Linked DNA regions of Mus musculus. The protein of the gene in region 3 interacts with the protein of the main gene of each other region in a pairwise test. Links are inferred from orthologs where the notes say so. Each region holds a gene or a part of one and is shown on either strand. Other genes may lie near its edges. The genes, in order: Ranbp1, Knstrn, Nupr1 and Stx18.

The links.
Region 1: the proteins of Nupr1 (region 3) and Ranbp1 interact in a two-hybrid assay, tested with the Homo sapiens proteins (2 studies listed by BioGRID and IntAct). The link is inferred for Mus musculus from reciprocal best matches to the Homo sapiens genes NUPR1 and RANBP1.
Region 2: the proteins of Nupr1 (region 3) and Knstrn interact in a two-hybrid assay, tested with the Homo sapiens proteins (2 studies listed by BioGRID and IntAct). The link is inferred for Mus musculus from reciprocal best matches to the Homo sapiens genes NUPR1 and KNSTRN.
Region 4: the proteins of Nupr1 (region 3) and Stx18 interact in a two-hybrid assay, tested with the Homo sapiens proteins (2 studies listed by BioGRID and IntAct). The link is inferred for Mus musculus from reciprocal best matches to the Homo sapiens genes NUPR1 and STX18.

The regions. Positions count from the first base shown.
Region 1 is NC_000082.6:18,237,628-18,244,698, forward strand, and holds the end of Ranbp1 (ran-specific GTPase-activating protein), read right to left. Parts: intron 4,247-7,071; coding exon 4,118-4,246; intron 3,333-4,117; coding exon 3,267-3,332; intron 3,216-3,266; exon of another isoform or gene 3,090-3,215; intron 2,567-3,089; coding exon 2,460-2,566; 3' UTR 2,352-2,459; downstream 1-2,351. UniProt on the Homo sapiens protein: Plays a role in RAN-dependent nucleocytoplasmic transport. Alleviates the TNPO1-dependent inhibition of RAN GTPase activity and mediates the dissociation of RAN from proteins involved in transport into the nucleus.
Region 2 is NC_000068.7:118,831,184-118,838,001, reverse strand, and holds the end of Knstrn (small kinetochore-associated protein), read right to left. Parts: intron 6,450-6,818; coding exon 6,375-6,449; intron 6,286-6,374; coding exon of another isoform or gene 6,205-6,285; exon of another isoform or gene 6,034-6,204; intron 4,003-6,033; coding exon 3,871-4,002; 3' UTR 1,790-3,870; downstream 1-1,789. UniProt on the Homo sapiens protein: Essential component of the mitotic spindle required for faithful chromosome segregation and progression into anaphase.
Region 3 is NC_000073.6:126,620,935-126,628,898, forward strand, and holds Nupr1 (nuclear protein 1), read right to left. Parts: upstream 4,537-7,964; 5' UTR 4,501-4,536; coding exon 4,389-4,500; intron 4,100-4,388; coding exon 3,969-4,099; 3' UTR 3,956-3,968; intron 2,646-3,955; 3' UTR 2,312-2,645; downstream 1-2,311. UniProt on the Homo sapiens protein: Transcription regulator that converts stress signals into a program of gene expression that empowers cells with resistance to the stress induced by a change in their microenvironment.
Region 4 is NC_000071.6:38,124,733-38,132,195, reverse strand, and holds part of Stx18 (syntaxin-18), read right to left. Parts: intron 5,265-7,463; coding exon 5,206-5,264; intron 4,153-5,205; coding exon 4,083-4,152; intron 1-4,082. UniProt on the Homo sapiens protein: Syntaxin that may be involved in targeting and fusion of Golgi-derived retrograde transport vesicles with the ER.

The DNA.
Region 1 (7,071 bases), on a different chromosome or scaffold from region 3:
CTGTTTCTTTTATCTTTTCTTCTTCTTCTTCTTCTTTTTTTTTTTTTTTTGGTTTTTCGAGACAGGGTTTCTCTGTATAGCCCTGGCTGTCCTGGAACTCACTTTGTAGAACAGGCTGGCCTCAAACTCAGAAATCCACCTGCCTCTGCCTCCCGAGTGCTGGGATTAAAGGCGTGCACCACCACGCTCACTACATCTGTTTCTTACAGTCTTAAAACCTGTTAAGACTCCACCCTACTTGGCTCAGTCTCTGCGTCAGGATATAATACCAGGCTAGTTACCTGTTGATGTCCTTCCTCCAAACTATTGTCAATGGGGCACTCAAGACTTGAAGCAATGCATGTCTTCCTTGGCTACACCATCTATAGTATGAACCACTTCCTTGAATGTACATCAGAATACAACCTGAGCACAGGACAGCAGTGTCCCTTAGCCAGTTTGTATTTGCAGAATAGAAGGAAACCTTCTGGGTCTGAGTCCAGGATTTATGCCATGAGAGCCATCACAGCCATCCTCCTCTATTGCAGATACATGGGGAGAAATGCCAAACACTGGTCATAGGAAGAGACGTCCTACTTATAAAGTCCTCTCCCTAAGGGCATTTACCCCACTCAAAGGTTCATTTGCCTGTTACTACAAGGTAAAGGGTACTTGAACCTGAATCCTCAGTCCAGGGCCCGTGGACAGTTCTTCCAAGGCCACCTGTAGCCAATGTCTCAATTCTACTACATCAGGCCCCACTACATACACATATCTCTTCCTGGGATGGAGAAAACCAAGAAACAGCCTTTAGTTGGCTTTAGAGAGCAGCTTGGGGAATGAAAAGGTGCTTTTGCAGGAATGGGCAACGAGGGAGGTGTGAGTATGATAAAGTACATGTCTATATGGTAATGTCACCATGAAAGCTGACTTTGAATGCTAGCTTAAATTTCTTTAAAGCTTTAAACTGGACTGTAGTGGCACACACCTTTAATCCCATTGGGCAGATGTTCTGAGTTTGAGGCCTGCCTGGTCTACAGAGGGAGTTCAAGTACAGACAGAGCTACACAGAGAAACCCTGTCTCAAAATAAAAAAAAAAAAAAAACAAACAAAAAACAAAAATAAAAAAAGAGAAGAAAGGAGAAAGATGGAGGGAGGAGAGAAAAGGGGAGGGGAAAGGAGAAAGGCAGGCAGGCAGGCATTTGTAAGCACACCCTGCAAAGGACAAGGTCAGACTTAACAGGGTCAGTTTAATAAGGCGAGCATCAACAGATAAATATCCAGACTCTGGTAGGTGTTACTGGCAGTCTGCTACAAAGCAAGAGCAGGTCCTGTTAATGCACTCAGACCCCACCATGGGTCTTGCCCTGTGAGGTGGGGCTGCTGAAGCTCCTGAGCCCACAATGAGTCAGTCAGGTCAGGGCTTTCTTTTGCCTGTCTGTAAGTATGTGCATTATCATTTGATTTGCCTAGAAAGAGAGTGTCTAATTCTCTGGGGCTTCAGGCAATTGTGAGCTTAAAACTGAACTCATCCTCTACAAAAGCAGTAAGCGTTCATAACTGATGAGCCATTTCTCTAGCCCCACATAAGGCAGGTTTTATTCAAGTAGTCCCTAATCCTAATGGTGCTGAGTTTAGAATTCAAGGTCCAAACTCCTAGAGTGCTATTTGAAGATGTATTGGGGCACCTAATGGCTTCCAATAGGAGAGTGTAGGGCTAGACTCAGTTACACTATGGCACAGTACCATGGTGGCCTTTCCCTCCACTGAGCTTGGAGCTGCTCTATTAACCAGAGCCAATCAAAACCAGTTTTTCCTATAGCCAGATGTTTAGCTACCTACCACCTCCCTTCACCAAGATGAAAGCACATAATAGTCTCCCTTCACCTCTCTTTCTCTCTCACACACACACAGACCCTATACAAAAGCACAAAGCAATAGTTCTAGCAGCAAGGAAGCAGCCCACCTTGGCCCTGAATGCCAGTTGCAGCCACACACACTGTGGCCTCCAGCACCAGCCGGTACCGTAGTATCTGGTCCCTAAGAGCCACAGAAGGACACACCATTTTGACAAACTGGTTTTCTCCTAGGAGAAAATCAGGCTGGTAGACAGGTGGCCAAGGAGGGCTCCAGGCATAGACACCTTCCCCACCCCTCACATAGCCTTGTCAGCTGGTCCAGGTTTTCAAAGGCATTTTTTATTCACTATTTTTGATGACTATAAATAAGTGTTTCCACTATGGAAAAGAAAGTTAGCACAGTACATTTTCATGACTGGGGAATGGATTTCTGAAGTCATGTTCAATGGTGTCAAAACTTGGAGGAAAAAAAAGTTAAAAAAAAAACAAAACAAAAAAACAACCTGAAAATTGGAATTCAGTTCTTTATAAAGTCCCTTGTAAAAACAAAACAGAAAAACAAACCTTAAAGGGTAGGGCAAATTTTTAAAAAGAAAAGGAAAGGAAAAAGACAGAGTGATTCATTGTTTCTCCTCAGACTTCTCTTCAGCCTCCTCTCTGGCCTCCCTCACTGAAAGGGCTTCCAGCTTCTCGGCCACCTTTTCGGCATTATCATTTTTGCCTGGTCCTGCAAAAACAGGCAATTGCAGTAAGACAACAGAGAAGTCCGGCTGTGAGACTACACTGCTCTTGGCACTTACCTAGTGCAGAGGCCCGACCTGTTCCCCAAGCATCACCCACCACTCTCCCCAGATGGGTCCAGCAAGCTGCTGGTGATGTGTGGTCACTTACTAACCCAGGCCCCATCTGTCCCAGAAGAACAGAAAACAATTTGTTGAGAAAATGAGAAATCTATCTTTTTGTTTGTTTGTTTGTTTCATTTTTCGAGACAGGGTTTCTCTGTGCAGCCCTGGCTGTCCTGGAACTCACTCTGTAGACCAGGCTGGCCTCAAACTCAGAAATCCACCTGCCTCTGCCTCCCGAGTGCTGGGATTAAAGGTGTGCGCCACCACACCTGGCACGAGGACTATATCTTAAAAGCCCTTTCACTGCTGTTGAGTTCCAAAGAGCTGTAACTCAGCTCAGTACCTGAAACTGACCACAAATGCTAAGAGGCCGATGTGAGGCCAAAGCCTACAAGGAAGGCATCAGGCTGTGTCCCCAGGCAGCTGCACTGCCTCTGATAGGCAGAGGAAGCCACAGCATTCTGGACTGTTTCTTTGGCAGATGGAAAAAGCACCAGACTGGAGCTGCAGCCAGGTGCAGAGTGAATCTGCAAAGAAGCCCCACAACCCACCCACCCTCATCACTCCCGGGCACCACATCACCTTTCTTTTCTCTCTCTTCAATTTCTTTCCTGCATTCTTCAAACTTTGTTTTGAACTTTTGTGCATCTGTAAAAAGAGAAGGGACTAATGTCTGAAAGTTCTCAAAGTAGACTGGCAATATCCTAAAATTCTGAAGCGTCAGTCAATTCATGGTCCTCAGTGGCATTTTTTTCTAGATGGGATCCTGCTTCATATCCCTGGCTGTCCTGGAACTCAAGATGTCCATCTTCCTCTGCTTCCTAAGCGCTGGGATTAACCATGCACAACCCCAGTGACAATTTCTGACTATTTAATGACTGCAGTTGAGTCCCTCCTGAGGCCATCAACTCTGCTCAGCTATCTGTCTATCACAATCAGACAATCAAGGGTCAAAGCTCTTCTTACTATAGGCTCTACTCATGTTGGAAGGGCTACCAGATACACATTATATTCCAAGTCCAAGGGCAAGGCTCACTTTCACAAGAGTACCAGCCACTAGGGCATTTGCCATGGTACCTGCTGACTCTCCATGATCCCCAGGGCACAGCTTTGTGGCAATTCAGACTAGAAAGATTCCCCCATGGAAGAGAGATTAGCCAGGGCTTGCAGATCTCTGCAGTCTTTGCTGGTACAGGTGCCTAAGCGTCCGTAGGGGACACCAGTGTCCCAGTCTTGAGGAACCAGAAACCAAGCAGAAGCAGCAGCAGGAGGAAACTCTAGGGTGTGTCTCTGGTTCCACACACCTGATGGGAGTCAACTGGATGCAACAACTGTTTATACAGACCCCTAGAATTTCAGAGGCTCTGCATGCTTTGGGCTAACATCAGCTGCCCAGCAGGCGACCCACAGTTGGGCGGGCAAGTTCTGCTTACTCTCAGCATTTAGGAAGCGGATGGCGAGCAGCTCAGGCTTGGGGCACTCGTCAGCAAAGTCGGCGTGGGTATTCCAGACCCAGGCTCGGTCACTGCCAGCATTCGGCTTCAGCTCCATCATTGGTGTAACTAGGGTAGAGAAGCCTGTGAGGACAATGGCCAAACCACCCAGCCCGCACCAACCTGCTCACCAAGAGAAGGAACCCACTTCAGCCAACATGGAGTCTAAAATCTGAGATCCAGGCTGTTGTACCTGACTACCCTGAGCCAAGCAACCATGATACTGAAGTACTCTACTATGCCCACTTGCAAATTATCCCAGCTGGGCTTGACTGTTTATATCCCCTCAAGTTCAGAAGGGGTCAGAGACCCCACCTGAGTATCCTATCACTGGTTGTGTGCAATTCTGCCCTAATTGCATGTGCTCTCCTCCAGGAGGGGCTAAAGAATTAGGTTGGGAAAGACTAAGGGAGTGGGAGGGGCTTTACCTATTGAGGAGCCATCATCCCTGCTAAGTCAAAGCTTTCCAAGTACAGCCTGATGGGGTAAGGAGCACCAATACCCCTATGAATAACCCCTCACCTTTGTTCTTTAAGAAAGTCCAATAAACTCATTAGTTCCCAGAATACAGTTTGGTGGCATCACACCTTGACTTGTCATTAGAATCTTAAAAGAAATGTAGCTACTCCACTCCCGGAGAGGAATTTTAAAATGCAGGCCTACACAACTCTACACCTGACGCAAACCACATCTGCTTAAAACCAGAACAATCTTTATGTGGAGCAAGCTCAAGACCCTGAAGCACAGGCTGTCTGCTGACGTTTTAAGGGTAGCTACTCCAGCTCAAACTTTCCTAGGGTGACCAACAGATGGCTACAAACACATGCCCACACCAGCACGAACCTGGCTGACTGAAAGCTGGGAACAGAGGCTGAAAGCAGGGCAATCACCACATTACTATTTAGCCTGCTATAGTCCAGGAAGAACACAAGCAATGGGTACCAGAATCCTATGACAAACACGAGTGTGTCATGGAAAATAAGTCATGACTCAAGACATATTTATTCTGAATTCCTCAGGTCCTATACAGAACCAAGGGAGAGCTAAGCACTGACAGATAGCTGTCCTCCACTGATAGTCTGATCCTCTAGAATGTCACTTACTGGTATATATGCCCAGCCACTGGTCCCTGTACCCTTGGCAGTATTTCTAGGATTTCAGAGAGGCCCTCTGACCACACATGACAGCTAAAGTTGGAACTCAAGAGATCTGAGCTACACCAGCCTAACAGTGGTCTTAGGAACCGTACACTATCCACAGTCTTACTTTCCCCATACCTCACTTGATGCCTGTGGTTTGAATGAGAATGTCCTTCAGAGGCTCAGAATGGCTTGCTTGGCTCTAGGTAGAACCTTTTGAAAGGATTAGGAGCAGCCTAGTTGGAGTAGGTGTGGCTTTGTTGAAAGAAGAGTGTCACTCGGGTGGGCTCTGCATTTCAAAAGCTGATGCCACAGGCCCAGGGTCTCTTTCCAACTGCTGCCTATAGATCAGGATGTAAAGCTCCAGGACCGTGCCTATCTGCTTCCTTCCATGATGATAATGGACTAACCCTCTAAAACTGTAAGCCAGACACCAATTAAATGCCTTTTATGAGTATCTGTGGTCATGGTGTCTCATCACAGCCACAGAACAGTGACTAATCAATGGCCAACTTTGACCCACAACCTATGGGGTGCATGAGACGAGGAGAGACAGGAGGACTGCAGGGTCTGCTTGCTAGCCAGGCTTTGGGAGCACTTGATTCCTTCCCCCCACCCCAGAGACTGCTCCAAATTGGGACTGAGAGGAGACTGAGGCAACTGTGTGACAGGGAGGGCAAAGATCGCTCTCATGCCCCTGCCTCAGCAAACCACCTACTAAGTCCTATACCCTGATCTTACCTATCATCTGCCTATGTAACCAGGACAAAAGATCCTGATGGGCTAGAAAGTGTAGCCTGTAGAAAGGCAGTCTGTAGACTGTCTCAGTAAAGGCACTCTACAGGCCTCATCATTGCCATCCCTATAACCACAAGGTGAGAGGAGAACCGGCTCCTACAAGCCCCCCCACCTGGCTGCTATGGCCATGGCGCATGCACACACAAAGGAAAGAAAAAATGTGTTCAGCAGATAAAAATCACTAGCTATGGGGCTGGAGAGATGGCTCAGTGGTTAAGAGCATTGACTGCTCTTCCAGAGGTCCTGAGTTCAAATCCCAGCAACCACATGGTGGCTCACAACCATCCATAATGAGATTAGATGCCCTCTTCTGGTGTGTCTGAAGACAGCTACGGCGTACTCACTAAATAAATCAATCAATCAATCAATCTTAAAAACCTTCGGGGCTGTTTTCCAAACATGACGCTGTGCCTTCCTCTGCTGCCCATCTGAACCAGACTATCTCTGGAGAAATGAGAGTTTGAACAGATACCTGCCCTGGACAGATACCTCACTAGCTATGTAAGCTCAGCAATCTAGTATGATTCTAGAATTCAGGTGAAAGTGTTAAGAACAGATTCCACAAAATTGTTCTTTGGTCTATACATGGACCCCATCCCCACCAAAAGAAAGAAAAAAAATTTTTTTTCAAGTTTAGAAAATGTAGATTTTTGCATTAGAGAATCTACCAGGATCAAGAGTAGAGGATGGTTTTGTGCACTGTGCCCAGAGATCTGATTACAGTCTGGTGTTAGTATTGTCATGATTACTGAAGCATCTCCCATCTCAATGATGTATAAAAATTATTCTCCCTTACTTCTGATTGGTTATAAAGAGTTGATCAGCCTATAGCTGAGGAAGAGAGTTAAAGTGGGACTTCTGATCTCAGTAAGGGTGTCCTGGGTGGAGACAGTGGATGAGGAATTGCCAAAAGAACACAATGGAGCAGGAGTAGCCAGGGTGAGACTTGATGGCAGG
Region 2 (6,818 bases), on a different chromosome or scaffold from region 3:
CCTGTGTTCCATCCAATAGATGACTGTGAGCATCCACTTCTGTATTTGCCAGGCACTGGCACAGCCTCACAAAAGAGAGCTATATCAGGGTCCTGTCACCAAATCTTGTTGACATATGCAACAGTGTCTGGATTTGGTGTTTGTTTAATGGGATGGATCCCTGGGTGGGGCAGTCTCTATTTTTAACCTGGCTTTTCAGATAGTTTTGAAACAATGGCCTCCTGTAATTCTGTTCCCCTTAAAACCACAAAACAAAACCCTGACACTGTACTCCTGCTCTGTAGTTGAGGGTGAATTTTTTTTTTCAAAAGTTTATTATTTGTGTGTGTTTCCTCAGAAGCTAAGAGGTCATTGGATCCCCGGAACTGGTGTGACAGATGCTGGAGGTAAACACTGGTCTTCTGAAAGAGGTCTCTTCACTGCCGTGTCATCTCCAGCCCTGCTGAGCAGGATCTTGAACTCTCAGTCCTCCTGCCTCCAGCTCCTGGGATTGATTAGCGGCAGGCATGATCTCACTACTAAGCCTGATTTTATGCAATGTTTGGGATTGAACCTGGGGCTTCATGTATGTTATTAAGAATTTTACCAACTAAACTACATCCCTAGCCTGGCCTCCTGCATCTTTCCTTTTTTCATCAGAGGTTTCATTTGGGTTTATAAGGGAAAACGGTGTGTGGGTTGCTGGGGATCGATTCCAGGGCCTTGTGCATACTGAACACATACTTTACCAGTGAATACTTTCATCTCTCCCACCCCTCAAGCCCTGAAAGTCCATGAGAAGTCTTTTGAAGTGTCATTTTAAAGATGGTTTAATCTGAGTGTAAGCGCCAAAGTGATATACACACAGGGGAAGGCAGTGGGCATGCTCAGTCAGGACTGTGGCTGGAGGCAAAGCTGGAAAAACCCAGTGGGAAAGCCTGGGCTATAAGGCGGCAGAGTACTGGGCTACAAGTGCTGTAGCTGGCGGGTAGCAGGTCTCAGTAAAGCACGTCCCTTGCAGCTTTACCCTGTGTTGACGCCAGGTTGATTTACTTATGAGGGATGATAGTTGGGGCCAGTGTGATTCCTGCACATTCACAGATCTCTGGCTGGAAGAATGGAAAGCAGAAAACCTTCTAGGAGTTTGTTTTGACCAACCTACTCTGCCCTCTATGTTCTGTGACAGAGATAAGACACCAATGGATATGTGTAACTTCTAAAACCAGTGCAGTGGAAAAGCAGAGTCAGTTAAGCTTAAGAGAAATAATGCCTGTGTGTTCTTACAGGTTTGGTGAGTCCCTTTCCACATGGTCTAAGTCACATGTTGACTGGTTGGATTCATCCCATTTTATGCAAAATAGAATTGGATTTGGATATATATCACAAAATTTAAAATGTGAGATACATGAAAATATCAAAGTGAGGTCATTATTTTGTATGTTAATTGAAGAATAAGAGTGAGACCAGGTATGGTGCTGCACACCTTTAATCCCAGGCAGAGGCAGGAGGATCTTTGAGTTTGAGGCCAGCCTGTATGAGCAGAGCTAAATGCTGGCAGCATCTTAGTATTGTTATGTCTGTGACCCATCACCTGTCTCCTATTTTGTAATTCTTCCTCACATGCCTAAGGCAATCTAGAATTGTATCTAACTGGTTCTAATAAAGAGCTGACAGGCAATAGCTGGGCAAGAAGTGGAAGGCAGATCTGGGCAGAGAGAGGGATGCTGAGGGAATATTTATACTCTTTATGACATAATCAACAATATGAGATTGTTTAGCAATTTTAGCCCTTTAAAGTTGGCACAGGTAGTGTGTGTGTGTGTGTATACAAAGGCATGGAAGGCAGGTTAAAATCTTTTGCAACCCAGAAGTCATTGTTCAGTATACGTTTTGATAGATATATAAGAATGGACTATGACACATAAGACAGCTCCATGATGGTGGGACACCTGCTCCCGTGTGGATCCTATAGCTAGTGTCCTTCAGTCCACTGCGTGCATGGACAGCAGCAGCGCAGTGCACTCCATGAGACTGTGAACTCCCTCATATGACTTCTGCTAGGACTTCATCTTCGAAGAATCACACGTCAAAGGAGCAGATGTGGATCACACAGGAAGCCAGAATGCAGTGTTCTATAGGACTCTTCCTGGAGTCCCATTCTGTGTATGGTGAACCTATATAAAGTAGGTATGCTTCACCTGCTGTGCGATGGTCTTTAGTTGTACCTTATAAACCTTATAAACCATTTTATACATTTGAAAAAGTAAAGAAAGAAAGAAAAAGTTAAGTATGGGACATTACTCAGCTTCGTTGGGGATCGGGACTCTGGTCAGTCTTAGTGATTTTGAAGGAGACATTAGGCAAGTTTGGTAAAGAAAACAGAAAGCTCAAAAGCAATGGGAATGGCCAAAGCAAAGGCTGCTGTGTTTCAGCTAAGGGGGAGAACATGGCTGCATTTTGGTGATCCCAATGGGGAGGGCCTGTTGCACCAGGCTCTAGGTTGGCTCTGACAGACAAGCTGCAGACATACAGACAGAACACAGGCATCTGGCCACCAACACGGTGAATAGAGCATGGCACACACAGCTACGAATGTGGAAGAACTGACAATCCTGGAAGGCAGGAGGCCTTGTCACAGGCACGGAGCGGATGGAGGGAAAGGCAGTCACAGTACCTTGGACTTATGCCAGTATGCTCAACTCACAGATCCAGACCAAACACCGCTTAATCCTACCTCCTCCTCCTCCTCATGTTGAGGCCTGTTCCTTTTAACACAACTGTAGCCATTTGTATTCAGGCTCAATGTTAGTCACAAGGTGAAATTAAGGTCATAGTGATTAGTGTAACTGACACTGAAAAATGCTACTAACAAGCAAAAACAACGTGATTAAATCACTTGTTCCTAGTTATCTCAGTGTTCTGAAATTCCCTTGTTCACCGCCTGACCACCATCTTTCTTACCTCACTCAGGACCAATTGGCTTAAAGGTTGGCTAACAATACTTTACCTAGTAAGCCAGCTGCTCCTCTCCTTGACCTTTAAACCTGGTTTTTCCTATAGAAAGCCTACTCCGAGAGCAGACTGGTGCCACAGTTGAGCTTTTCCTTCTCGTGGACCCGGACTTCCATATTATGATGTGCGTTCACTAAACTATTCTTGCTTAACTGAGATTGGTGTACATATGGTTTGTGTGGCAATTTCCTAATCCCCAACATCTTCCTTGCTTTTCTGAGACAGTATTTCTGCAGCCTAGGCTATCCTCTAACTCAAGACAATTCTCCTGCCTCAGCCTCCCAAGTCCTATGATTGTTATAGATATGAGCCACCACACTGGGTTAAAGAGGCTACTTTCATTCCCTAGTGTTAGTCAGAATATTAATATTCATAGAAACATTTATTTCCAAAGCTCTAGTTGTAGTTTTAGGTAGGTGCTACTTTGTATACCTCCACCCCCATTTATTAAGCCAAAAAAACTTCAAGAATTTCAAGTTCATAAAACTTAACTCAACCAGAGAGACAAGGGGACAGCATGGCTCACAGTCACATCTCTCGCACAGCACTCGTGCTGTTGTGGTGTGGGCCTTCTTCCCATGTTTCCGAGTCTCTAGAGTCTCCAAGGCAGCTGGTTTAGTATCCTAGTTCTAAGGGCTGCTGCTCTCTCTGCTGCACAGGAAATGGAGTCAAACTCCCAGGTTCCTCTCTTGCAGGAGAGCTGAGCCATCTGAAGGTGGGGCAATCTGCTTAAAGGAGGAACCCCAGCATCAACTGGCCTTATCGGATCAACTGCTGCAGAAGGTCTTTACCTAAGGGATGGTGAGTCCTTGAAGATATCCTAAGTAGCCTCTGCCGAGGGTTTATCCAGGAAGAAGCCGTCCGGCCACCTGCCTTGAGCTACATTTCTAAGAGCTGCTCCATTTCCTCTAGGATTATTGTGAAGTCACTGGCTTCGTCCTTACATAAGGTCTGCTGTTCCAGGAACTGGACACTCTCCTCTTCTTTCAGCTTCAACTTCACCTTCAAGGCCTGAAAGGGAAATCATCCCAGAGGGAAACCCATAACACAACTCTTACAACAAAGACAGCACCCGGACCAGACCGTTATACCCGTGCTACATAGAGGGGGGCGACCCCAGTACCAGACAGCATCTTATTTCCCACCTTAAAATTTATCTGTGCTGGCTCGGGGAATTTCCCTACTCTGTATTTAAACTGGAACAATGAAACCGTTTGTGTCTCCTGCCCCACCATTTGTCTGGCAATCGGAAGGCGTCCAAGAATCTCACCATGTGGACCAGGCTTCAAACGTACGAAGACCCCTGCTGCCTCTGTAATAGAAGGTGTGTGCTACCGTGCCTGGCTCTTACATTTTCTTTTCTTGGTAATTGTGTGTGTGTGTGTGTGTGTGTGTGTGTGTGTGTGTGTGTGTGTGCGTGTGTGTGTGTGTGTATACCCTTGGATATCCATGGAGAGGAGAGAAACAAAAGGGCATCAGATCCCTAGAGCTGGAGTTATGAAGGCATGAGCTGCAGAGTGTAGAACTTGGGACCTTTGCAGGAGCAGCAAGCACTCTCAACCCTCTAGCCCTACAATCTGGACAGTTCACCCAGGTCTCCTGAGAAGAGCTTTTTAGCATGGATTTCAGTCTCAGCTCTCTGAGCATACTGCGGTGTGGCCCATGGGAGGTGTGGAGACTTTGCTCCCCTGGGCCTTGCAATGGTTTTATCCCCAGGAACCTTTCTAGGGTCCTCGGGAACACAGAAAGAATTTGTGGAAGAAAAGCATCTTAAAAAAAAAAATGGATTCAGTACTAAGTCTGGGACTTTAGTTACCAATGGCATGCCAGTGAGGACAGCATGAGGTATTATCCTAGGGAAACTGAATTTTCTATATTAGATATGTAACTCTTCTATAAATCTAAAATTATTTCAAAATAGTTCATTAAAAACAAACAAGTATACTGGGCCTGGTGCTATGGGCTGCCTTCTATGGCACATGTGGGACTTACCCACCTTACCCCAAGTCGTACCAGCTGTTGTTGTCCCTGCTGGGCGCCCCGGCCCTGTTCCCACCCTGACCTCAACCCTAGGCAGACCCTTGCCTTCCATCCTTTTTGCCCAGCTATGTGAATGGGTCCATCGATTGGGACGTCAATCGTGGCGAGCTCTGATGGGCTGCTTGCAGGGAGCCCAGACTGGAGTGTAGTCTCTGTCTTGGACTCCTCCAGAATGGAAGGAGGGAGTTGAGCCTTGACCTAGTCTGATTTAGGAGTGTGTTATTTGTTATATCCCTAGAGAGTTGATCCTTGTTGCTCCGTGGCTGCTGACCTGAGTCAGCCCTACCGGGGCAGGGAGCCCTGGCCATTTGATGTCCCCCCCTTCTCCATCTTTGTCCCCAACTCAGGACTGTAGGAGCCGTCCCTTTCCCCCCAAGGAGCAAAGCCATAACAGGGTGAGGGCCACTCCTGGCAACTCTCCAGAAGCCCAGCCCTCAGGAGGTACAACTGACTTGGGGGTTTGTATTCCCAGAGCTGCAACCACGGTAGGGAGTGGGTTGGCTCTCAGCTCTGCAGTTCTCGGAGGCAGGGGCAGTCTCTCTCTCTCACACACACACACACACACACACACACACACACACACACACACACACACACAAAGCCAAACATGATCCAAGCAAGGATGGGGGGGATGGGGGCAGGTGAAATCGCTTCAAGGGTAAAGGTGCCTGCCACCAAGCCTAATAACCGGAGTGTGAGCCCCATGCACTGGGGCATGGACGCACTATGCACCCACATACATTCACACTGAACTGTAATAGGAAAGCAGGGGAACTGGAGATCTCTTTGCAGTTGACTATCCCTTGCTCCTTCCGACGACTAAAGCTCAGTTTTTAGTACCCATGGCAGGTACCTTACCAATGTCTATAACTCTAGCTCTAAGGGGTCTGAAGCCATCTTATGTCTCCCATGGGTACCTGCGCATACGTGACATACATTCACAGAGACACAGAAGTAAAAATAAATGTTAAAAAAATAAGTAACTAAAAAGCAAGCCAAGCATGGTGGCTCACGTCTATAATCTCCATGAAGAGGATCATCCTGGGGCTGGATCTCTGGGACAGAGAAAAAGAAAAGAGGAAGGAAGGATAAACCAGAGAGGTGGCTCAGCAGTTCAGTGGCTGCTCCTGCAAAGCTGACCCAGGTTCAGTTTGCAGTGCCTAACACGGCAGCTCACAACTGCCTGTAACCCAGCTCTAACCTCCGTGGACACTGTCGCAGTCTGTACGTGTGCACACTTAGGCAAAGCATACCCTAAAAGGGAAGAATAGAAAGAATGATTTCCCCGAATCCCTACGCTGTGGTGAAACGGCAGGTGCTGCCGTGGGTGCGTCAGCCCTTACCTGTAGCTCCTCCATCTGCTTCTTGGCGGTTTCATTGAAAACCTTCAGTTCGTCTTTCAAAGTTTCGAGCAGCAGCTAAGAGTAAAGAATATATACAGAGTTGAGCTGGGTGTGGTGGCATAAGCCTTAGTCCCAACACTTGGGAGGCAGAGACAGATGGAGATCTCTGAGTTCAAAGGCAGCTTGGCCTACTTAGTGTGCTCCAAGATGGTGGAGACTATGTAGTGAGACCCTATTTCAAAAGTAAGAGAGGTAAGAGAGGAGAGGGGGGATGGGGAATGTGTGTGCAGGCACATGCGCACACAGAGACACAGAAAGAGACACAGAGAGACAGACACATAGATTAGATAAACACAGACAGACAGACAGACAGACAGACAGACAGACAGACAGACATGAATTAGATGGTGGCTATCATCCTTTTCGTTCATGACTTATCTGGAG
Region 3 (7,964 bases):
TATACTGCTGCAAGCATGCTGCCCAGAGGTGGTGCTGTTTTAGGTTCTAAAGCTAAAAGCTGTACCATGTGTCCCTCTCTACAAAGTCTGTGCTTCGGCCCTGCCCTGGTAAAATAACAAGCAACTAACAGATGTCAAAGCAATGAATGATTTGGGCTAGGTAGGGTGGCTCACACTTTTAATATCAGCATTCAAGAGAGGCAGAGGCAGGCAGATCTCTATGAGTTCAAGGCCTGACTTGTCTACAGAATTCCTGCACAGACAAGGCTACAGAGTGAGATCCTATTTAAAAATAAAAGGCCCACTCCATTGCCACCAGGACAATTTCCACAAAACCACCTGCCAAAAGAAATATCCGTGAGCCTGTTAGCTGGTGTGGCATTCCAGAGGAGAGATCAACAGAAGGAGGGGAGAGGGCCCAGCAGAGGAATGCTGAAGACAAGGCCTTTGACTCAGCCTTGCAGGTTGGGTGGCGTCACGGGCATCCTGAACAGAGAAGCAGAACCTTCCAGAGCAGGTGGTTGGCTGGTAGTCCACAGAAAGCAGTTGCCCTGAGGTAGAATTGGACAGCCTTCAAGGAAGCCAGTCCTATTCTTCTTGTTCTTCTTGGCACTAAGGAAACCAGACATTCCTGAGAACACTGAGATAGGACCAAAAGCTTGCTTGGTTGCTTGATTTATTGGGTGTCACTTTGAGTCCTGGTTGGCCTGGAGTACTGAGATAGGACCAGAAGCAGCTTTTACTCCCTCCCTCCGCCCCCAACCCCCTTCTCTAGATAGGGTGTCGCTATGAGTCCTGGCTGGCCTGGAACTACATAAACTAGGCTGGCTTCAAACTCATAAACTCTGCCTGCCTCTGTCTTCCGAATGCTGGGACTACGGATGTGAGCTACCATGCCCAGCCAGACCAGAAATTGTCCTAATGTTCCCAGCTGCACAGGAGGTGGCTGGATATGTCCCTGAGAGTTGCAGCTGACCCACAGCCTGCTGTGAGGCCACTGATTCCGTAAGTACCCTAGCTTCCGGTTCCATCTAAGTGCAATGGGCTCCAGGCTCTACAAGCTGGGTTAGTGAGAAGGGACAAAGGCTCAGCCCAGAGCTAGAGCAAGGGCTCTTTCCTCCCACTTTGGCTGAGTCTGAGTGTTGAGTAATGTTTCTGCTTATTTCTTCCAGTATGCTCCATCTTCTTCCTCTAATAAAACTCTGCCCTCACCTCAGCTTGGGTTAGCAAATGGCTGGCAGCCAAGAATGGCATTCCCCGGCCTCTCTCTTCAAGCATGTGACTAAACTGTGAGCAGGTGCTATGCGTTCTACTATCAAATGGTATCCTTAAAAATAAATAGGGTTGAGCTGGAGAGATGGCTCAGCGGTTAAGAGCATTGACTGCTTTTCAGAGGTCCTGAGTTCAACTCCCAGCAACTACATGGTGGCTCACAATCATCTGTAATGGGATCTGATGCCCTCTTCTGGTGTGTCTGAAGACAGCTACCAGGTACTCATATACAGAAAATGAATAAATAATTCTTTTTAAGAACGAATAGGCTAAGTGGGAGTGGTGATACGGGTGCCTAGAATTTGAGGCTTAGAGGGCCACTTGAGTTCAGGAGTTTGAGACCAGCCTCAAGAAAATGGACTTGCCACCTGTGTTACTTAGGAGTATTTACTCATAGAACTTGTGTGTGAGAAAGAACATTGTTTCGTCTGAGTAAAATTGCAACATTCCAAACTCAGACCTCAGGCCACTCTACACTTGGTTCAACCATCTTCTCATTTGCTTCACATTTGCCTGGAATTCTGGTCCTGAGACCCATCGGCCCACCATGCTTAGGGAGAGCTTTCTCACCAGCTCACCAAGCACCCCATCCTGGAAGCCAGCCTGGTATTTCATGACTGAATTTGAGCCCTCGGTTGCTTAAAACAAATCCTCTGCATGTTTTAAATCATGGATGCTGGGGTTTTTTTTTTTTTTTTCATTTTGCAAATGGTATTAACAGAAACATTCTCTTCCAAAAGCAGCTCTATATAATAGGACCTCATGGTGCTCAAGAATATGTAGGGGACTGGCCACAGGTTGTCTCTGGGACAGCACTGCAAAGAAACAAAGCAACTTCCCTGGAAGAAACCATAGAAACAGGCTCCTCAAAGCATCTGCATACATTAGAACAAGGCAACAATCACGGAGAACCGTTCAAGCCCATATGCTACGCAATAAGGACGCTCCCTTTCCAGATCAGCCTCCTAGAGAGACACACAATGGACACAGCCAGACACAACACACCCAAACAAAACAAAGGCACACAACACACGCCAAAGCTGTCACTGCTGTACGATTTATTGTTGCTGCCACCCAAGGGCATCCGATTTATTTCCCCCACAGTTCTTTTGGGGGCTGTCTTCCTAGCTCTGCCCGTCTACCCTCTGCTTCTTGCTCCCATCTTGCCCTTTTGCTGGGTCTGGAAGGGTGGAAGGGCTCCCTCTCCAGAACCTCACTTAGGTGGGAAAGAATCAAGCAGGCCTAGGTCCTGCTTACAACTCCTAATTTCTCCAAGGTCCTGTATCCATTGCTGGGTGTGATGTCCTGTATCCATTGCTGGGTGTGATGTCCTGTATCCATTGCTGGGTGTGGTGTCTGTGGTCTGGCCTTATCTGTGCAGAGGGAAAGCAGGCAACGAAAGGGACAGAGATCAGAGTTTGACTTCCACCTTTCCTACTCATATTTGCTATTACCTTAGAGAAGTACTTGACTCTATCTGCCTCAGTTTCCCTTTCCATAAACCAAACTTCCTCTCCATTGGAAAGGCTCCATGGGAACTCCCCCCACCTCTGGTTACCAGGGAGCTCAGTCAAATACGGGTCTCATATTATTTTAGATGTAGAATAAAAATAGTGTCACAACACTATTGTTTTGTTTTGTTTTGGTTTTGGTTTTTGTTTTTTGTATTTTGTTTTTTCGAGACAGGTTTCTCTGTATAGCCCTGGCTGTCCTGGAACTCACTTCTTAGACCAGGCTGTCCTTGAACTCAGAAATCCATCTGCCTCTGCCTCCCAAGTGCTGGGATTAAAGGCGTGTGCCACCACTGTCCGGCCAACACTATTTTTTTCATTTATTGATATGCCAATGTGTTTGCATGCATGTGCGCACATGCGTATTCTCGTGTGCTACTTTGAGCATATGGAAGTCGGTGGACATTGGGGGCACAGAGGTCCTTGTACTCAAGAGAAGCACTAAGAACCAGAAGTTTTAATCATGCCGTGTGTCTCCTCAATGCAGGAGATAAAGTCAAATACCTGCATTCCACTCAGAAATCTGAGAGTGGATTTTGTTAACAACCTGGTGAGCTTTTGGCTCTGTGTGGAGTCAGACCTCCCCAGCTTTTGCTATAGAAGCCGACCTCACTCAAGTTCTCCAGAATGATAATCCCAGACTCTCCCCTCCCTAGACCATTACCCACTCTTAGGAGAGATGTCACATCTGCCTGATGACCTCCATGCTATTGGTCAGAGACCACTCTAGATTCTAGGCCTTTAGCTCTAGAACCCACCCTCATGGAGTTTCAGTGTAGTCACACCTCAAGCTTTATTGTGCTCCTGGAATTGAACTGATGGACCTGACTGTTGCCTAGAAACCTCTTCCCAAATTGTACTGTGTTTTAAATATGCTGACAGTGAACCGCCTGGCGTTAGATGCCCTGAAATCTGATCCAAGCTGATGGAATTCGGTCTGAATGGGGTTTTCATTCTTATCACTTCCCTGCCTGGACATCTATCTGCAGGGCTCCCTGGGAACACAGCTTGCAGTTGGTTCTCTCCCCTTTCATCACTCGAGTCCCAGAGATCAAGCACAGGTTGTCCTGCTTGCCTGCAAGAGCCTCTACCTGCAGCGCCATCTCACCAGGACCAGCTTTTGGCTCCCCGCTTCCCGCTCGGCACACTTAGGCCCGGCTCTCCCGACTCACCTCCAGCTCCGTCTCAGCGCCAGGCTTTTTTCCTTTCAGAGTTCTGGAACTTGGTCAGCAGCTTCCTCTCATGCCCGCCAGGGCTAGGGCGGTTGGTATTGGCAGCAGCTTCTCTCTTGGTCCGACCTTTCCGACCTCCCCCGACTGGTGGAGCAGGAGGTAGAGGAGGTGTGTGAGGTTAGGACAGGCATATAAATGGCCAGAGTGGGGCGGTCACGTCTTCACGTCTGAAGCACTCTATCCTTGCTGTTTACTCAAGTATAGAATGAGAGATGCTCACTTGTGAGTTCTTGGGGCTAAGGGAGACAGAACTCAGTAGATGAGACTAGAAGGGGTTACTTGGGAGTTGGGAATAGATTAGCTAGGAAAGGTAAACCGGGGTACCCAGTGAGAAGCAGATGGGCTGACCAAGGAGCTACCACGAAAACCTTACCGACACAGGGATGGGCCAGGCTGTACTGATCATATTCATCCAGGATTCCATCTTCATCCTCTAGGTTTAGAGGTTGCTGGGAAGGGTTGGCTGTTGGTGGCAAGGTGGCCATTATGCCTAGTCTGCTCTCTCCAAAGTCTTGCCTGTGTCTCCTTGTCTGAATGTCTGCCCTCTCCCAGTTTCTCACCCTACTTATAACGCTGTCTCCTCCCTAAACCACGGGGTTGGCCCCCGCCCTCCAAGCCCTGTCTGATGCAATCTGGCCCTTTCCCAGAACTGGGCCCATAGACAGCAGTCCTGAGCAGAGAGGAGCACCCTCCCCTCCCTCCTCCCTCACAGGACTCACCCAAGCACAGCTGTGTTTTTCCACGTGGAAAGCTCTCGCCTCAGGGGCGGAGGAAGCAGACAGGATCTGGGCACAGTCTTTGGGATATTGGCCAGGGAGAGCAGAGGGCCTCAGATAGGCCAGTCCTTCCTATCATTTCAGCCTCTGCCACAAGCCCCTCCTGGGCCTGGGTCATAGTTAGACAGACAGACAGACAGACAGACAGACACACACACACACACACACACACACACACACACACACACTGTAGTCTGGTTCAGATTCAGGAGGTAGTGGCAGCATACATACTGAAAAGGGAGGGAGGAGGGACACTGACCCACTTCTTGCTTGGTCAGCAGTTCCTGTCACACCCAAGGCTTCTATTTTTGTGAAAAGTCCCCTTCAACAGAGTCCCCAGGGACTTCTTCCTCATGCAAGATGGAGGATAGCTAGCTGGTAGAGACAGCAAATACCCTGGATTCCACACTCTGATTCCTGATCCACCTCCCTCTACCTTTCTTTCTGACAGAATCCTTCTATGGAGCCCAGGTTAGCCCTTGAACTTGCAATTCTCTGGCCTCCTCATCCTAAATGCTGGGATCACAAGTCAGCTCAGATCCAGTGTTTCCTGCTGTGTGACCTTGGACACGTCACTTTCCCTCTCTGATTGCTTCAGGTTCCCCCTTTAACAGAGGATAACTCTATCTGGCTCTGTTGGTGAGAGGTTGCAGACTCATGAGGCCTGGAAAACCTTCACAAGCGGGAACAGTGTAAGGATTAGTCACAACTTCCCATGGGTTCCCATACAGTGCCCTTGCCTTGACCCTCCCCCCTCAAAAAAAAAAAGGGTGGAGAAAAGGAATTTAAAATAAAATATTGTGTGTTGGCAAGATGACTCAATGGGTAAAGTACTTGCCACCAAGCCTGACAACCTGAGTTTATCGGTTTCCAGGACCCATACAGTATGGGAGAGAAAAATGTCCCATAAATTGTCCTCTGACCCTCACATTCCTATCCATGTACACACACAATAAATACGTGTGACTTCTAAAATTTAAATAATATATTGAGGGCAGAATGAAATAAACAGGTATTTGTGCTTTGATACCCCCTGCCTTGTTTTTTAGGCAGTCTCACTGTTTTAGCTGTGGCTGGCTAAGAACTTGCTCTGTAGGCCAGATTTGAGTCTAGTGTTGAACTCAGAGATCAACCTGCCTTTGACTCCTGAGTGCCAGGTTTAAAGGTGTGCATCACCACACCCAGCCAGTATGAATCAAGTGTGAACTAATAGTAAGCTTTTTCAGTCCATACTAGCTTCCCTTGGGTTGTTTGATAAGAATTAGTATGAATTTTAAGTTCAAATAAAAAGCATGTGAAATGAAATTTTCTACTTTTTTTTTATTTTAAAAAAAGTTTTCATACAATGTATTCTGATCAAGGTTTCTTTTCTCCAACTCCTCCCAGACCCTCCCCATGCCCCCAAATTTTACTCTATAGGAAACGAACAGGTGAATCATCATTGTCACCGTCGTCGTCGTCAGAAATATGAATGAAAAAATTAAAAAGCAGAGGCCATGCGGCTCCTGGGTATGGTGGAGAAGGTTTAGTGTAGACATGAGGGAGAGCACAAGCAGAGCTATCTGCAAGAGTCCAGAGTGAACATGGCCAGCAGACTTAACAGGGCCTGTGGGAGACAGAGAGAGAAAGAGACAGGGGGAAGAGAAGAGAGGAGGGTCGACAGAGGAACCTTGGACCAAGTGGCCAAGAGGCAAAAAACAAACAAACAAAAAAACAAAAAAACCTGAGAACCCAGAGACCAAGAGGTAATAAAAAGGCAAAGATACTAGCATAGTCATCTTATTTAGGAATCAGAGAAACTGTGGGAAGGGAGAGTTTAGGGTAGCATGTGGGGTATACCAGCCAGGACAGCTCCGTAATAGGTGCTGGCAATGCTGAGAGAGGCAGGCTGACAGCATCTGCCCTGATATGTTAATAGGCACTTCAGTTAGCCATTTGTCCAGGGGTTGAGTCCTAACAAAACACACACACACACAAATCCATAAAAACACAAAATCAGAAACTATAATATGTAAACAAAGGACCAATAAGACCAAAACATGTCTGATGAAAACACCGTGAGAAAAGAAAGCCGATAAAAGTACTGTTGTGTTGGCATCTCCTGCTGGCCATGGGGCTGACCCTTACCTGGGGTTAATGCAGCCAGTGAGACTCTATTGGAGGAAACTAAGTTTTCCTTTGTAAGCAGGTGTCAATTTGGTTAGGGGTGGGAGTCCATGTCCACTTTCCCCTCTCAGTGCTGTGACCCCATGTGGCTTGAACCTGGGCAGGCGCAGGCAGGCTGCCAGCGTGTTGAGTTCATATGTGTATCAATCAGTCCTGTTGTGTCTGGAAGACACTGTTTCCTTCGTGGTATCCACACTCCCCGGCTCTTACAATCTTTCCACCTCCTCTTCCACAGAGCTGCTGAGCTCGGAGGAAAGGGGAATTTCCTACTCTTGATGGAAGGATATGAACCCTGTGAGTCATGTTAGCCCAGAAAGGGTGCCCACACCAATTCTATCTGCATTGCTGTCTCCAGGCAGGGAGTTAGACAAAACATTCCACATCTAAAAACAAAACAAAACTGGATTCCAGAAAAACCAAACCCTCTCAACCCTGGCCAGACATCAAGTCCTCTGCCCACGTCCACGGGCTGTGAACCTCCCTCCGTGTCAGCACAAGGCTCGGATGTGACCCCAGGCCTGCTGCAGGCCCTGGTTGCCCTGGTTAAGAAGAGGCTGTGTTTCTGTTTGCGGCTTTCTCCCCTGAACATAAACAAAACCAAGCATCTGTTTTCCAGATTCTTGTGTCAGCGCTGCTTTAAAGCTCCGGCCCAGGGCCTGGAGAGATGGCCTGTGGGTGAGAGCACTGCTGCACAAGAAGGCCCGCGCTAAGATCCCAGCACTCAGGTTAAAAGCCAGGCACGGCCATGTGCACACCTCTGCCCCCAGCACTGTGACACTAGTGAAGCAGACAGAAGGACTGCTTATTAGCTGCTGCCTAGCTCCAAGTTCAGTGACAGACCCTGTTTCAGGGAATAAAGCATCCTCCTGCTACCACGTGTGATATGTTTATAAAAACAAAAACAAAAAATAAAGAAAAGGGAGATATGTTCTATGGAGGTGTGGTGAGGTATGGGGGAAGTGGTGCCTCCGTGGGCTCATGCTAAGGCACTTCCCCCTGAGGAACCA
Region 4 (7,463 bases), on a different chromosome or scaffold from region 3:
AGATAGGATAGCTCAGCTGCTGCTCCTCCCTGATAATACCAGGGAGAAATCTGCAGGACCTGAGATAAAGAAAATGGGCTCCTCAGGAAATGATTCTGCCTATTTGGTTGTATCTTTAAATGATAGACCTAAGCTCCGCCTTAAGATCAACGGAAAAGAGTTTGAAGGCATCCTTGATACCGGAGCAGATAAAAGTATAATTTCTACACATTGGTGGCCCAAAGCATGGCCCACCACAGAGTCATCTCATTCATTACAGGGCCTAGGTTATCAATCATGTCCCACTATAAGCTCCATTGCCTTGACGTGGGAATCCTCTGAAGGGCAGCAAGGGAAATTCATACCTTATGTGCTCCCACTCCCGGTTAACCTCTGGGGAAGGGATATTATGCAGCATTTGGGCCTTATTTTGTCCAATGAGAGAGCAGCGTTGGGGGATAATGTCGATATTTCCACTCCCAATGACGGTGATGTATAATGCTCAAGTATTCTCTTGCTTTTTTACCACTAACTGGGAACTGGGTTTGGCCTTAATTCAGACAGCCTTGGCTCTGTCTGGACAGGTCCAGACGACTGACACCATTAACACTTTGTCAGCCTCAGTGACTACAGTCATAGATAAACAGGCCTCAGCTAATGTCAAGATACAGAGAGGTCTCATGCTGGTTAATCAACTCATAGATCTTGTCCAGATACAACTAGATGTATTATGACAAATAACTCAGCAGGGTTGTGAACAAAAGTTTCCGGGATTGTGTGTTATTTCCATTCAGTATGTTAAATTTACTAGGGCAGCTAATTTGTCAAAAAGTCTTTTTCAGTATATGTTACAGAATTGGATGGCTGAATTTGAACAGATCCTTCGGGAATTGAGACTTCAGGTCAACTCCACGCGCTTGGACCTGTCCCTGACCAAAGGATTACCCAATTGGATCTCCTCAGCATTTTCTTTCTTTAAAAAATGGGTGGGATTAATATTATTTGGAGATACACTTTGCTGTGGATTAGTGTTGCTTCTTTGATTGGTCTGTAAGCTTAAGGCCCAAACTAGGAGAGACAAGGTGGTTATTGCCCAGGCGCTTGCAGGACTAGAACATGGAGCTCCCCCTGATATATGGTTATCTATGCCTAGGCAATAGGTCGCTGGCCACTCAGCTCTTACATCTCACGAGGCTAGACTCATTGCACGGGATAGAGTGAGTGTGCTTCAGCAGCCCGAGAGAGTTGCACGGCTAAGCACTGCAATGGAAAGGCTCTGCGGCATATATGAGCCTATTCTAGGGAGACATGTCATCTTTCATGAAGGTTCAGTGTCCTAGTTCCCTTCCCCCAGGCAAAACGACACGGGAGCAGGTCAGGGTTGCTCTGGGTAAAAGCCTGTGAGCCTAAGAGCTAATCCTGTACATGGCTCCTTTACCTACACACTGGGGATTTGACCTCTATCTCCACTCTCATTAATATGGGTGGCCTATTTGCTCTTATTAAAAGGAAAGGGGGAGATGTTGGGAGCCGCGCCCACATTCGCCGTTACAAGATGGCGCTGACAGCTGTGTTCTAAGTGGTAAACAAATAATCTGCGCATGTGCCGAGGGTGGTTCTTCACTCCATGTGCTCTGCCTTCCCCGTGACGTCAACTCGGCCGATGGGCTGCAGCCAATCAGGGAGTGACACGTCCTAGGCGAAGGAGAATTCTCCTTAAGAGGGACGGGGTTTCGTTTTCTCTCTCTCTTGCTTCTTGCTCTCTTGCTTCTTACACTCTTGCTCCTGAAGATGTAAGAAATAAAGCTTTGCCGCAGAAGATTCTGGTCTGTGGTGTTCTTCCTGGCCGGTCGTGAGAACGCGTCTAATAACAATGGGCCCCTTGAACTGTGAGGCCTTGAGAATCAGGCTTATGTCAGTGCTGCAGGCTGTTTATGGCAAACTCCTCAGCTCCTGCTCTGATGATCTCTGCAGTGTGTCACTACCCACATGCCCTGGCCCATGTGCCATGTGCACTCCAGTGATGTCTCCACTGGGAACTGAATGACTGAAGCCTGCCTTCCATTCTATAGCATTATACCAGGACGGGCTCCCTAAATGTGGGCACATTAGAGCATGTCCCCCTCTCTCCACCCCCGACAGGAAGACTAAAAACAGTACCACATGGCTGGTATGGTAGGGTCTCCAATAGCATTGTCTCATGAATGGAGACCAGCACCCGCTACTTCCAAGTTCTCAGCATCTACACAGGGCATTTGTGGCCAGCAATTCAAGTCTTGTTCTAACTCTTACCCATTTAGCAATGTGTTAAAACATGCTGCTTGAACTTTATATGCCCCGGTACAGGGGAATGCCAGGGCCAAGAAGCAGGAGTGGGTGGGTAGGGGAGCAGGATGGAGGGAGGGTATAGGGAACTTTCAGGATAGCATTTGAAATGTATATAAAGAAAATATCTAATAAAAAATAAATTTAAAAAAACCACGCTGCTTGTATGGCTAATGTGTTTCAAAGCCTGTAACATCATGAAGCTGGCTTCTAGACCTTATAAAGAATAAACAATGCTAGAGGAGAGGCCAGTATCAGCAGTTCATATTTGTCCTTGTCACTTGGTGAGTGACACAGGAGAGATAGGAGATAGTGTGAGCTGTACAACCTGACAAGAGCCTTATCCTAGTCCTGCCACTCAGACAGTATGTGACCCTCTGTAAGCTAGTAGATATCTCTGAGCCATAAATTTCCCTCTCTTTGTGTTGGGTGATGCCCACCTCTCTGGTGACGATTCCCAGGCTGTGTGGGTGCAGCCTCTAGACCTTGGAGCCTAAAAGACTGTGATTCCCTTTGCTGTATGGCTAGCCAGGGTATGTCACTGGATTACCATGTAGAGAACATATTCATGGTGGCATATGTGGTGTTACTACAGCAGGGCACTACCTGGCTTGGTCAGAGTCCCACCGAAAGGCCTGCCATGGGCCAGATAGGTCAGTGGTACTACTTGCTGGCTCTGAGAGAGAGGCCTGGAGCACTAGCTGTACTTCAGATAATGGGGCTGAGGAGAAGTACTGGCCACAGTGCACAGGGTGGAGTATCCACAGTGCAACCTGGTCACCCTGAAAGCTTTATGCTTTAGACAAAGTGACTCTCCCCAAAGTGAGCTGCGGTGCCAGCTCACTTGCTTTGATGGCTTCCTCTGTCATGCAGCTGACATGGCCATTAGGCCAAGGGTCTGCACAAAGTCTGTCTCCAGGGTTCATGGCCTTCACACACGTGGCTTGGGTAGATCTTTAAGATACTTATGAAGAGGGCTGGAGAAATGGCTTGGCAGTTAAGAGCACTGACTTTTCTTCCAGAGGTTCTGAGTTCAATTCCCAGCAACCACATGGTGGCTCACAACCATCTGTAATGGGATCTGGTGCCCTCTTCTGTTGTTTCTGAAGTCAGCTACAGTGTACCCATATAAATAAAATAAATAAATCTTTTTTTTTTTCTTTTAAAAAAGATACCTGTGAATCTTATTCTTATGACCGTGTACTCCCAAATGTTGTTAGCTTCTACCTCATCCATGCTGACTCAACTCTGCTGTGAGGTTCAGGCAGCTGTGAGTGAGCCAACGTCCCGGAGAGAAGAGGAAGGTATGTTTTAGTCCTAAGCTCACCGGGGAGCAATCTTCCCCCTCTCAGCTGTGCTCCAGGAGCAGCAGGGGCTGGCTGAGAGGCTGTCCCTAATTTCTGGAGCACAGTGGGTTGAAAAGCAGCTCTCCATTCTGCACCGTGCAGAGTGCTTCTGTGCTCACCTGTGAACACAACAGCAGCCCTGTGGTCTCATCCCTTTCTACAGATGGGGGTGGGGGATGGTGTGGAGGGATTGCACCTTCCTAGTACCACTGGATGCTCTAGCTCACAGGGGCCACTCTGCTCCTCAGCTGTGCCCCAGAGGGTTGCTGCGGGCTGATGGAAGCTAGGTCAGGGTGCTCTGAGTGATGTGACTAGCTAACAGAACATGGTGCTGTCTAGTCGGCATCACTCAGAGGCTTCTGGAAGAGGGCTCCAAGCTCTCTGTCAGTCCTAAGTCAAGACTCAAAACTGCTGGGCTCTGGATCCTTTTACCTGTTGCAAAACCTTTTCGGTGAATATCTCTTGGAGTCTGGAAATTTCAACGACTTTCCCTTCGATTTGCCTTCAAAAAAAGAATGGACAGGTGACATGTTAGCTGTTAGCTCCTGGTAATCTAAGATGAATGGTACACTTTTCTGAAGGAAACATTAAAGTGATAGCAAAAGAGGAAGGGCAGCCATGCCAGACAGGAGGAGGAGCTGGGCAGGCATGGTAGGTCCTCTGCATAGCCTAGTTACCTTGTGATACATGCTGGAGAAGCAAAGGCATGGTTACTTTGAAAGCCCATCTTTAAAAAAAAGTATTATTTCTCTCTCAAGCCAGCTCCCTATGGCAAGACAATGCTGCAGTACAGTCTGTGATCACCACGTCTGGTTTAGCAATCATGTGCTTGCCCAACCTGAAACACTGGCTGAGCCTTTCCACCATGGGGCAGGCTGGGGCTGAGGGGCTGAGAGTGGAAGCTGGCTCAGACTGACCTTCCCTACTCCAGCACAGCTGGGTCAGGGGCAGGAGAAAGGTGTGAGTGGCGAGGGATTCCCTCTAGAAAATATGGGAAGGGCAGACAGGAGACATGGAAGGAGCAGTACCAGGGCATGGAGAAGAACAGCAAGTGGATGGGCAGAAGAGGCCCGAGAGAGCCACCTCTGGGACAAAATAACCCTGGGGCTGTCCCAGGGAGTACCCCTACCCTGAGTAAGTCCCAGGCCGGGAAGGGCCACACTCTGAATGGAATGGGGTCCTGCAAAGACTCAGCTGTTGCTTCCACAGCACTGCCACGCTCCTGTGGAACACGGGCGCTTGCAGTTCACTGGCAAGTGGGTGTGAGCCTGGTCACCTGGAAGCAGGACTCCTTCACAAGGCCCCCACTGCATTTACAGCCACTCCACCCAAGCAGCCCCGTGCTAGTGCTATGGTTCTGCGTTTGGGACAGACTGTCTTTAGTGTGTGCTTTCTGCATGCTGCAGCACCCACAAGCTTACTGTAGCAGCCAGGCTCCTCCCACAGGCTCAGCCGGCCCTGCCCTGTTACACGTGGGTGCCTGGATGCCAAAGCAATTGGAAAGAGCCCCCAGTATCTGGGAAAACTGTCATCAAGCTACTAGCTACATACATACCTCACTTCGTCAAACAAGCTGTTCATTTCACCAATGAGTCGCTGATTTTCTTGTTCAAACTGCAAAGAAGCACACACACTCAGAATGATATCAGATGGGACTCAAGAAAGGGGCAACAAGGAACCTTTGACCTTCCACCCACCTTCTAAGGATCCCTGCCCAGTCCCGTCGGCCAGCACAGGGTATTGCCAGCAGATTGTCTGAAAAATACTGTACTCTGGGAGGAAAATGCTTGCCAGTCCAAAGACCAACTGTGCTACGCTGACTTCAGAGTCCTCCTGGGTCTGAACTCAGGAGCAGCTGACACTCAGACTAACTGCTGAGCAGAGGAAGCTGCCTCTGCGGCTTCAGACACACTCCGCTTTGATTCCACGGCTGCCGCCTATCTCCAGGTGCAGCATTTTAGACAGAGAACTTGGTGTGGGGAAGACTGAGGGGCAGAGGCTGGCAGGCTCCTTGGCCTGTGACAGGGACAGACCTTTGACCTCCCAGGGCCTTGTGTGACAGCACCAGGGCTGCCCACTGCCTAGAGGTAGCCCCACTGCCCTTTTAGAGTAAGCTCCACACCTGCTTCATACTGGCTTGTCCTAGTTTTCCTTCTGTGGAGTACAGTCTAGATCCTGAGCAGAATGCTCTGAAAAGAACTCAGGTAATACATGGCTCCTCGTGTTGGGCTCAGTACCCCACTGCCTATGACAACAGTGCACTGCTTCCCTGTTGGAGCTACCTGGCCCAGCAGAAGAGGCCTCAGGTACATATTATCATCTGTGATCCAGCCAATGTTCACCTCTGACGGCAGCCTCAGCCACTTCCACAGGACACAGGTGTATGCCACATTCCCCCATCTCTTCTGCCTGGCTGGGGACTCCAGCACAGGTGCCATGTTAAGGCCTGGCCCTAGAGCAGATGGAGGCACTTTCTCTGGGTCTTCCCTGCATGCAGCTTCACTGTGATATTTCTTAACTTGTTCAGGGACCAGCTTCTCTTGAGAGGCAGAGCCATCTTTAGTCCTTAAGCCCTGCACAAACCCTGCTACCCGGCCATCAGAACAGAGGCTTCATTCTACCCTAGACTCATCAGATCAGAAAATGGGAGGAGGAGGATGGGTGGTTCCTAGCACCACTTGAGTCATAGCAGCTGCCTTGCAGACTGTGGAGACAGTATTGCTAATGGCTCTTTCCATTAGGCATCACAGAGACCAGGTAAGAGAATAAAACCTTCACTTTGAGTCTGAAGGCTTCAGCTGTTAACTGTCTGCTCAGCAGTGACTTAGGAGGCCAGTATTCCTTGCGCATGTGTAATTACTTCAGTTGTAGGTGCTGATTTACATGCACCAACTCCCTCAGGTATGCTCAAGTTTGTTTTCCAGCGAAGCATTTCCTTTCTTTCTTTTTCCCCTAATGATAAAATATGGACCTGCCCTTTTAAATCTTGTCTTTCGATGCTTTGAAACTGTCCTTACAAACGATTAACTATCAGTCTAGGTGACTTACTACTGGATGCTGCCTGCAAACAAAGCCCTCTGGCTTCCTCCAGCCCAGGCATGAGATCCGGGGCTGCGGGGCCTTTCTAAGCCCTAGCAACTGACACTTCAGAAAGTATCACAGTGGCTCCAGCAGTCAGGCAAAGGCACAGGCTTCCCTGACCCTGGAGTTCTGTATGTCATCTCAGAAATACCCAGCCTTTCAAGGGACTGATGCCACACACCATCCCATGTGGTAAGGGGTGCTACTTCATAGCAAATGTTGCTACTGTTAAGAACTGTAATGTAAATGCCTGTGTTTTCTGATGGACATTCACTGGCAAACCTGCCCCGAAGTTTGGGTAGCAGGGGTTGCCATGTTGGCCACATACCTCATGGTATGGAAGCCAGGTATGAGAGCTCATGAAAATGGTTAGGTGGTCCTAGCTGGTCGGCAACCTTTTTCTTTTTTCTTTTTGGTTTTTCGAGACAGGGTTTCTCTGTATAGCCCTGGCTGTCCTCGAACTCAGAAATCCGCCTGCCTCTGCCTCCTGAGTGCTGGGATTAAAGGTGTGTGCCACCACGCCCGGCTGTCGGCAACCTTTTGATGGCTATCAGTTTCTTTGTAGACAGCTGTGAACCTTGCCCTTCCTTGACCCTGAGGTATGAAGTTGCAGTTGGAATCCCATCCCCTTCACCTTTGAATCTGTATGTCTTTGGTGAGTAATCCAACCCTTCTGTCCTTCTGCCTTTGTCACCAAAATGGGAAGAGTAGGACTTAGGCAGTGAGGTCGTT